Linked DNA regions of Coturnix japonica. Each later gene encodes a partner of the first gene's protein in a complex. Links are inferred from orthologs where the notes say so. Each region holds a gene or a part of one and is shown on either strand. Other genes may lie near its edges. The genes, in order: SIKE1 and SLMAP.

Region 1 (4,339 bases):
CCCACCGACAGCGCCGCGACGGGCCGCGGCCGGGCCGACAGATCGAGGGCTCCCCCCGGCTCTGAGGCCGCTCCCCTCGGGCTCCGTGTCCCTTAAGCCCCGCGGGCACCGAACCCCGCAGCGCCGGGCGCCCCCGGCCGGGCGGACTCACCCCAACAGCTCAGCGCCCCCGCTCCAGCGCCGCCATGAGCAGCACGGCACCGCACGTAGGAACTAATCCCGGCCTCTCGCGAGATCGCGGGGCGGGGCCGCGCCTGCGCCCTCACGGCCACCGGCGGCAGCACGGTGCGCATGCGCAAAAGCCAACGGCACCGCCATAGCGCGGGATCCACGTGGGACGGGGCGACGGGACAGCATTGATACAATACAGAATACAGCACAAAAATGGCTGTAAATTGCTTTATTCCATCTTAAAATAGTCTAGGAAAGAAGTCTGTACAATGCTCCTCAACAGGAGTCCCATATATCAACTAAACACCTTTATCTGCATAATCCAAATAGACTCATAACACACACAGTTGCTTTATCTATCAAAACTAAGTAAAAACAGCATCAAAAAGTAACAGTGACAATTGGGTGTCATTGAATTACATTGAAAACAGCATGAAAATGCCACTGAGAGCATCACAATATCAATATAATATATATATATATATATTATATAATATATATTATATATATAATATTATATATAATATATATTATTATAATATAATATAATATTAATGTGAGCAAATACTGAGGGTTGGGTCCTCAAAGCCAAAGCTCCACTGTGCAGGCAGAGCAAGGTATCAACTTGTTATAACATAGACTTCAATTCTTCTTCCTTCTAGCAAATACAACATCCAGGAGCTGTATTGTGTTCCCCATATCAGGCAGTTCTAAGTGACAGCTGGAATTGCCGAGGAAAGCTTATGGAAGTAACACTCGTGAGATAAACTGCCACAAAAGAGCCGGCACCAAAAGCACTTGGTTCACTTGGTTGATAATACAGAGCAGCAATACAAGCCTTTGCCATCAGGAGTGTGTGATTGCAGAGTAACACAGGGCACACATTGGGATAGATGGAACATGTGAAACACCTGAAGAACAAGTTACAGATCGTCCTTTGTTGGGTGGCTTCAGAACAGTCTCTGAAGTCAAGGTTTGGGTGTGTTGTGATCTAAGCTTCGCTGTCACGCACATCGTCCCTCCCGAGCTCAAAGGATTCCTTGCTGATGGACAATAGTTCCCGAAGCTCTTTGTTTTCGAGCTGCAAAAAGAAAAATAATAATCAGTATTTCAACTGAGATAGAGATGAGTTAATTAACAAAGATTACAGACTGTTAATTAAGTAGCCCCATTCCTTCACAGCCGAATAGAAATCTAGAACTCAAACTAATGTTTACAAGGGATGAAGCACATCACTTTAAAGGACACCTTTTACTTTGGGCTTTATCGTTAAGATGACAGAAATACAAAGAACTTAAACAGAAAATGTTCCTTGCCTCCCAACCTCACCCACCATCCCTGTTTTTTATTGTTATTAACACCTGACACACACAACCATCTATAGTCCCCAAAAGCTTGATCTGTCCTTAGCGATGTCGTGGGTTCTTACCTCCAGCTGAGCTAGTTTCTCCTGTACCTTGAAGAACTGATCATCATCCACGTGTACAGCTTTTCTCATCACTTCACCCATCTCACATATCCTGTCTATTTGTCCTTCAATTTCCTGAAAGACATGGGGAAAAAAAACAAACACCGTTAATACATTCAGGCAAAAGCAGTAATAATTTATTCCTTATGAATCCATTACTTTCATGTTATTAATTCTGGACTACTTTCCCATTTTGAATCTTAATCTTTCCCTCCCAACCACTTGTAATCCTCCCTGCTTTAAGACAGCATCACATACCTCAACACACGGCAGCTTATAGGGATTTTGGAGGCTCTTTTCCTTTTGTTACAGTTACTCAACAGTAATGATAACCACCTCTGCTGTGCTCCTCTTAAGTGAAAACAAAGCTATTAAAGCTTAACCCCAGGAATGTATCACCCAGAGCACACAGCAAGCCTTCACCTGGACAACCAAAGGCTCGTGCTGTTCAGGATGCTCTGTGATAATTTACAACCTGTGAGAAGAATGCAGGGAAAAGATCAAATACCAAAGGGACCAGAGCTTGAAAGAAGGCTCCTGGAGCAGAATGGGCCCGTGAAAGGAGACAAACGTTGCATGAAAGCAAACCAGAGAGCAAGTTCCTCATCCCCATCCCACCTTACCACAGAGTTGGCCTGATGAACTTTCAGCACTGGTTCCGCATCTTCACCTTTTCTCCCTTGCAACAGCTGCAACATCTGCTTCCTGTATTTGCTCATGATGAGCTCTAAGGCGTCCTGGTGCTCCTCCAGAGAGATCCACAGCGCTACGGGACAGGGATCGCAGCGTTACACGGCACCACGCGACCCCCCCGGTGCACCGAGAGCCGTCAGCCCCATCCCGTCCGACTCACCGCGGTTCTCCTGCCGCAGGTCGCGGATCTGCGTGTTCTCCTGGCACAGCAGCGTGTGCGGCCGCAGCCGGGAGCCGTCAGCACCATCCTCCGTTACGCTCCGACCCCGCCGGGACGCGGCCGTGGGCGCCGCCGCCGCCGCGCTGCCCTTGTCGGCCGGCCCCGCACCCGCCTCCCGCATAGCGGCCACGCGTTGGTGCAGGACGGCGGACTGATCGATGAGCGACTCGGCGGCGGTGTCGTGCTCCTTCAGCCGCTCCAACAGGGTCTTGGCGTCCGTCAGGATCTTCTCGATGGTGCAGCTCATGGTGGGCGCAGGTCGGGCCGCGCTGCTCAGTCCCGCGGCGGCCCCATGTCCCGCACAGCGCACGGACCGAACCCGCTCGGCACAACAACACCCGCACAACAGCCGCTGCCTTTTCCGGGCCGGCTCCTCGCCCCGCAGCTGCGCAGCCGTGAGCTGAGCCCGGAGCTGAGCCCGCACCGCCGCCTGCTGGAGGCCGCTGGGTGCGGGGATGGTGTTAAACGCGTGGATCCAAAGCTCCCCGCTGTCACACGGCGTGGATCTGAGAGCCGGCAATGGGAGCTGCTCTGTTTGCACAGCGCAGGTGGCCGTGACCCACGGGGGGTCCTGGTTATCTTGATTTCAAACTCCTTTAAATCCTGGGCTGACATCTTATCTGTATCCCTGTTTGTCCCTCCGACAGTAAACATCCTCTCCTCAAGTTAAAATAACAAGCTGTGCAGTGCTGACTTCGTTCTTTGTTATTTGCTCGCTGTAACCGCCCGTAGCCACCCGTGGTGATTCTGCTGCTTCGCTTCTCGTCGTGTCACGTTTTCCTTTGATACTTTCTAAGCAGTGTTTTAGCAGTGTCAGCAGTTCTGCTGCCTGCAGCCACCCTGCGGGCTTACATCTCCTTTGGGACACACTCAACAATTCAGCTGTTCGTGCCTTTCACCCTATTCTAGTTAAGGAAGTTCCGTGGTACCAAATTTACAACCTGTTGCACTTAAATCCCATCGTACAGCCCGGGGGACTCAGTGAGATCAATGCAGCACCAGCAATTCAATTCACATCAGCTGGGAAGTCAGACTGAAGCAGCAGGAGCACACACTACACCTCAGCACAAGCTGCACTTGGGTTGTATGTCTGAACCTATTCTGTTTCTTACACTTCTCCTTCCCTTTGGGCATGATTTAATGCTCACTCTTCCCTTCCTTCAGAGATATCATTCCGGCCTTTCATGCCACGTGGAGACAAGGGAGAGGCACTGCTTTATCAGGCTTCCATGTCAGGATTGTCTGAGTGTCTGAAATAAAGACACAGAATGAAAAGGAGATGAAGTCCTAATGTGTCCCATGCCCCCACTCAGGGCCGTGGCTCGCTCCCTGCCCAGCAGATCTCTTGACACAGAATCATTAGTTCCACTCCCAGAGGACAGCAGAATGAGTTCATGTGGCGCCAGGACCGACCCGATCCCAGTAGCACAGCACTCCTGTATCTAAATGCTGCTCGTGCTTCTCACCAGGACTTCTCTTATGTAGCAACAGAGCTTAAACAAAGCAGCGGATGAGCGATCTCAGGGCAGTGGTGTCTTATAATTCCTTTGGCTTATCACATCAGCGCTGTATAAACTGAAGAGAATGTATAAATTTGGCCTCTCAAGCATCTTAGTGTTTAACTTCGATTCGATTAAACACTTATGTATGTGTATAGAGTGAAAAATGGGGTTACAAGAGGTTAGTGCTTTAATGCTTTTAATAACTCTTAACCACATGACTGTATTTTGTCAAACAGAACGTGGATTTGTTCTAGCAGGAAAAAAATATATGCTAGATAGAAATAT
Region 2 (4,535 bases), on another chromosome or scaffold:
CAATTTGAAATACCTTCTTTTAACTGCTGCTGTTTTCTTGTGGCCTTGAAGACTCATCCCACTTTTATCATTACTAATGCTGGTGTGACACAGGCATTATCTCCTTACTACAAGGCAGCTTTTTGCACATATGGACTGCCCTTATACTAAGTTTCGAGGTTGTCTCTGCCTCAAAAAGTTTGTTTACTGACCAGCTGTCTTGCCCATACTTTACTAATGCTCCCTCTCCCCACTTTCCACCCTTCCCTACAGATTACGCTGATACAGTTATTTGCAGACTATGTAGCACACACAGGACCATTCACATGATTCACTACAACAAAACAAACACAACTCCAAACCCTCAAGGAAAAAAACCAGCAGCACAGCAGAAAGGCGGCTGGAGAGGCAGCAGAGAGCACAGGCTGGGAATGCAGGATCTGCCATTGCCATCGAAGCACACAGCTTAGCAGCGCCTGGCCCCAGATGATTCATGAACTATTTTTACATTTCTCAAGGATTTCTCTTTGTTATTAAGTTAACATTTCACGGTCTTATCTCTCAGAAAAGCAATATTGGTAAGAGTCTTATTGATAAGCTTCTAAGAAATGTTTACAACCGCTACGGCAAAAACAACTTGGGCAGACCTATATATACATCCCGGATAGGATAATGATACGTTCCTACATGAGATACACGTATGAGAAGATCTGTAAACAATGGCAATGAACATTCCCGCATGCAAATATTCCAGCATAATTTAGGTTTTTGTTTATTCATTTAACACACCACAGCGTTTTAAGCAGCTTTTGTGATTCCAGATTAAGATTGTATTTACCACCACCCACCTTTTCCCAGCAGCACTTCATATTCTCTCCTTCACTGCATTTCCCCCCCTCCTCCAACTCCGTCTTCCCTAAATGTACCACTGTTGTCATGAAGCAAACAGAATCCAAAGCTCTGTGTTCTGCTTTATCAATTCTTTCTGCCTTTTGCAATGCTCCAACATGTAAAACGTACAGTGATACATTCCTGTGCATCATCTGAAACCCCACTCTTTATTTAGTTATCACTATGGCTACTGATCCAGATTCTCATTTGCGCAATTTTCATCAAGATTCCCCCCATCAACTTCTCACATGATGGTATTTCAAGAGCTATCACATGTTACCATCTTATTTACTACTACCAAGTTGCTATTTTAGATCAGCTAAAGATAAAAGGAATAAGCGTATCATTTTTTGACACGTGTTAGAGGAGCTAATGCTAACTAAATATTTAAGAACAGTACTAAACAACAACTGGGTCCCTCTTCACCTCTTCTCTGAGTTAGCAGAGTTGCTCAACATTCAGTGTTTTCTCTAATTAAACCACCTGTAATACGCCTAGAGTATTTATAGCCATCACAGGGCACATAAGGGTCTTAAAATGCTTATTAAGAATGAAAATGTTGATTAAAAAAACCATATGTACAATACCTTTACAATTCAAATCAGTACAATAAAGTAAAACCTTTCCCTTTGTGTCAAAAAACAGTTAAAAACTGAGCTTAAACTAAAATTAGCCATATTTCATGCACTTAAGATCTTAAGAGTGTCCAAGAATGTATATCACAAACATTATAGATCCAAAACAGTATTTTTAATGAATCACAGATAGCAGTTCACACAATTACAAGTAACTTGAAAGCCATGCCATAACCCAGCCTCACGAAATTAAACGCTTGTCTTGTCCCATCATGCCCAGGTGTTGCATAACAGGGGATAGCTAACAATGGAAGGTTTAAGAACTTTGTTCTACTGCCCTTCATGCTGTGTCACACTAGTAAAAAACACAGCATTCATTACTGACTTTATTATTCCTGAAATCAAGAGCTACACTGACCGCATTTCTCAGAAGAGCGTGCAGGGAAGCTTAAAGAGAAAAAGAAAAAGGAGCTAATTTGTACCAGGTGGAGTTTCAGGGTGGAACATCAACACATGAGGAAGAAAATAACAGCACAGAGCAACTGAAATCTGCACTTCGTTCCCTTCTTGTTGAAATTTAAGTTCACAGCCATTGAGTGAAATGGCTTTACTTGTCCCAGTTCAAACCCTAGCGGACAAAACATGCACTACAGAACCTGTGTATTTCACATAACACCACAGCTACTGCCTTTCTGAGGGAAACAGCAGCAGGTTAATACATCTCCGGATGGATTTTAATACCATTTTCACTAGCAATGAGAAAATACCTTGTATGCCATCTGCTACACCCCCACTACCCACCGGGTCCAAACAAAACACGCTATATATGATTTCAAAAATGTAGGAAGAGCAGCACACAAACCCAGCACGCTTTTAAATCTGCTTTCTGCCAGCTGCTCAAAATGGGATTTATTTACACGCTCAGTTAATCAGTTCTTAGTATTTGGAAAAAAAAATAAACGTATTATTCACACAAGTCTGAGCCATATCTGTAATTATTACTCACCTCAAAATCACGCACTCCAGCACGCACATTTTTCAGCACTGTTAGCTTTAAGTACTTTTAAGAACTGACAAAGTTTCAGCTTGGTAAGAAATTATCAGTTTACCAGAGAATTAATCACTAACTATAACACAATCCTTCCACACACAGCCACGTTTATTACGGTGAAACAAAAGTGATCTGCAATATTTGGGGACTCGCTCAAATAAATAAGGTTTGCTATTTTTAAATCAAGCAAGCAAAACATCTTACCTTGCCTGTCTTGTGATCAAACCAGACAAGTGCGTGGTTCCTGGACAGCACCTTACAGTCAAAAGTCGCATTATTCTGAGCTGGCCTGCAGCGAGCCACTGAGCGGCCGATCTTGACGGGCTCATCCAGGTAGACATGACGCTCCTGAAACGGATGGGAGTTGGGGCGGCAGGTGAAGATGGCCAAGGCTGAAGGCATCGAGGACAGATTGGGGTTGCCACACCAACCAGAGACGAAGACAACCTCTTCTGATGCAGATGCAGACCGTCCTCCACGATTTTTATGCCAAACTTCCACAGCAAGTTTACATTAAAGCACGACAAACATTATCGCATACGAGAGGCCTAACAACTCATGGTTTCAGTGTGTAAACTAATTCTGGCAATAATCCAGTGAAAAAGCCCCATTATGTCTCTTAACAACATCAGCAGTGGCCCAGAAAATGTCTAAAACGTACCACTTTCAATCCATCCTCCTCTGGAAGAACAGGAACAAGCATCTGATTTCTTCAGAGAGAAGGAAAGGCTCCTTGAGAGAAGGAGAGAACGTCTTAAATCCAAGTGGATGAGTCATACAAATACTTTTGTTTGGGACCTCGACCGCCTCCTTTTTTTTCCCCCTTCCGTAAACAACACTGACCACCGCACCATGGAAGCAAAGAGAGGTTTAGGGAAGGGGGAAAAGGACCCGAGTCCTCCCTCAGAGCTCACGGAGCAGAAAGGCGGTCGCAGAGCCCGCACTCCGCAGCGGGGATCGGGTCGTGTCACAGGGCGGTCCGCATCTCCTCATCATCGTCCATTAAAGCAGACAGGCGCTCCTCGGGCCGGGCTACCAGAGCGACGCCGAACCCCAGATAAAGCCGAAGCGCTCTACAGCCCCGCGAAGCCGCTGGGCCGAGGAGCTCGGTGCGGCATGGAACGGGCTCGCGGCTCCGCTCTCAGTTCCAGGCCGGCGGGCAGCTCGCTGGGCCCCAGGCGCTCTGACAGCTCGCTGCGGCTCCGGGTCGCTGCCGGCGGGGGGCGGCTCCAGGAAGTCCCTCCGAAGCCCCCACACCGCTCCGGTAGAGGGGGCGGCCCACGGCTCCGCTCAGCCCCGCCGCAGGTGGCCGCTCATGGGGGGCCGCCCCGCGCCTTCTCCGCACGCCGAGCGCGTCTCCTTCGGGCCCGGCGCTGTGAGGGCCCGGCGCTGTGAGGGCCTGGCGGCGGGGCCCGCTCGGTAGCTCTGCCTCTCAGGCGGCCGCCGACCGCGAAAACTTTCCTCCGACCTGCGGAGCCGAAAACAAACCGGGTCAGATTCGTTCCCCGCCCGGCGCGGCCCCGCGCCTCCCCCCGGCCCAGCGGCGCCCGACCCCGAGGGAGCAGCGGGGGCGCGGCGGAGCCCCGCTCCCTCCCTTACCTTCAGCGCAGCCGCCGCCATAGTGACTGGAAACCTACCCGGTGTAACAGCCGCGGCGCTGCCGGGGAGGGGCGGGGGTCGGAGGGCGGAGCCGTGCTCGGCGGGGCCCCGACCATAGGGAACGAGCGGCGGCCGCCCCCGGCTGTGGAGCTGGAGACTGCGCAGGAGTGGATCGGCCTCCGGCTCATGCGCGGTGCTGCCCGTGAAGCTGCGGCACAGGAGGAGCAACGCCCTGAGCCGGGTGACGGGCTGAGGGAGCCGGCGGGAGCCTCAGAGCGGGACGGGAGGGAGGGAGAGGCGGCTGGGGCCGGCAGCAGGTGGGAGCTGGGAGGTGACAGGGCTCCGCCCGCCGCCATCCCGCAGCCCAGCCGGCGGAGCTCCGCGCACATCCCGCTCTGTGCTGCAGCTCGAGCGGCGGGTGCCGCTCCCTCAAGGTCACG

The links.
Region 2: the proteins of SIKE1 (region 1) and SLMAP are in contact, whole or in part, in a crystal structure (PDB 6AKM), measured with the Homo sapiens proteins. The link is inferred for Coturnix japonica from reciprocal best matches to the Homo sapiens genes SIKE1 and SLMAP. Residues at the interface, in NP_079349.2 of Homo sapiens: Ile5, Ile8, Leu9, Ala12, Lys13, Leu16, Leu19, Arg20, His22, Asp23, Ala26, Glu27, Leu29, Val30, Ser33, Ala34, Leu36, His37, Val40, Met43, Arg44; in NP_001291349.1 of Homo sapiens: Leu168, Tyr171, Leu172, Glu174, Ala175, Arg178, Glu179, Met181, Leu182, Lys185, Thr188, Leu189, Leu192, Leu193, Ile195, Thr196, Ala199, Ser200, Thr202, Ser203.

Annotation. Positions count from the first base shown.
Region 1 is NC_029541.1:3,922,438-3,926,776, forward strand, and holds SIKE1 (suppressor of IKBKE 1), read right to left. Parts: upstream 2,931-4,339; 5' UTR 2,800-2,930; coding exon 2,493-2,799; intron 2,406-2,492; coding exon 2,263-2,405; intron 1,715-2,262; coding exon 1,601-1,714; intron 1,253-1,600; coding exon 1,163-1,252; 3' UTR 386-1,162; downstream 1-385.
Region 2 is NC_029527.1:6,442,355-6,446,889, reverse strand, and holds the start of SLMAP (sarcolemmal membrane-associated protein), read right to left. Parts: upstream 2,922-4,535; 5' UTR 2,899-2,921; coding exon 2,701-2,898; intron 1-2,700. UniProt on the Homo sapiens protein: Associates with the striatin-interacting phosphatase and kinase (STRIPAK) core complex, forming the extended (SIKE1:SLMAP)STRIPAK complex.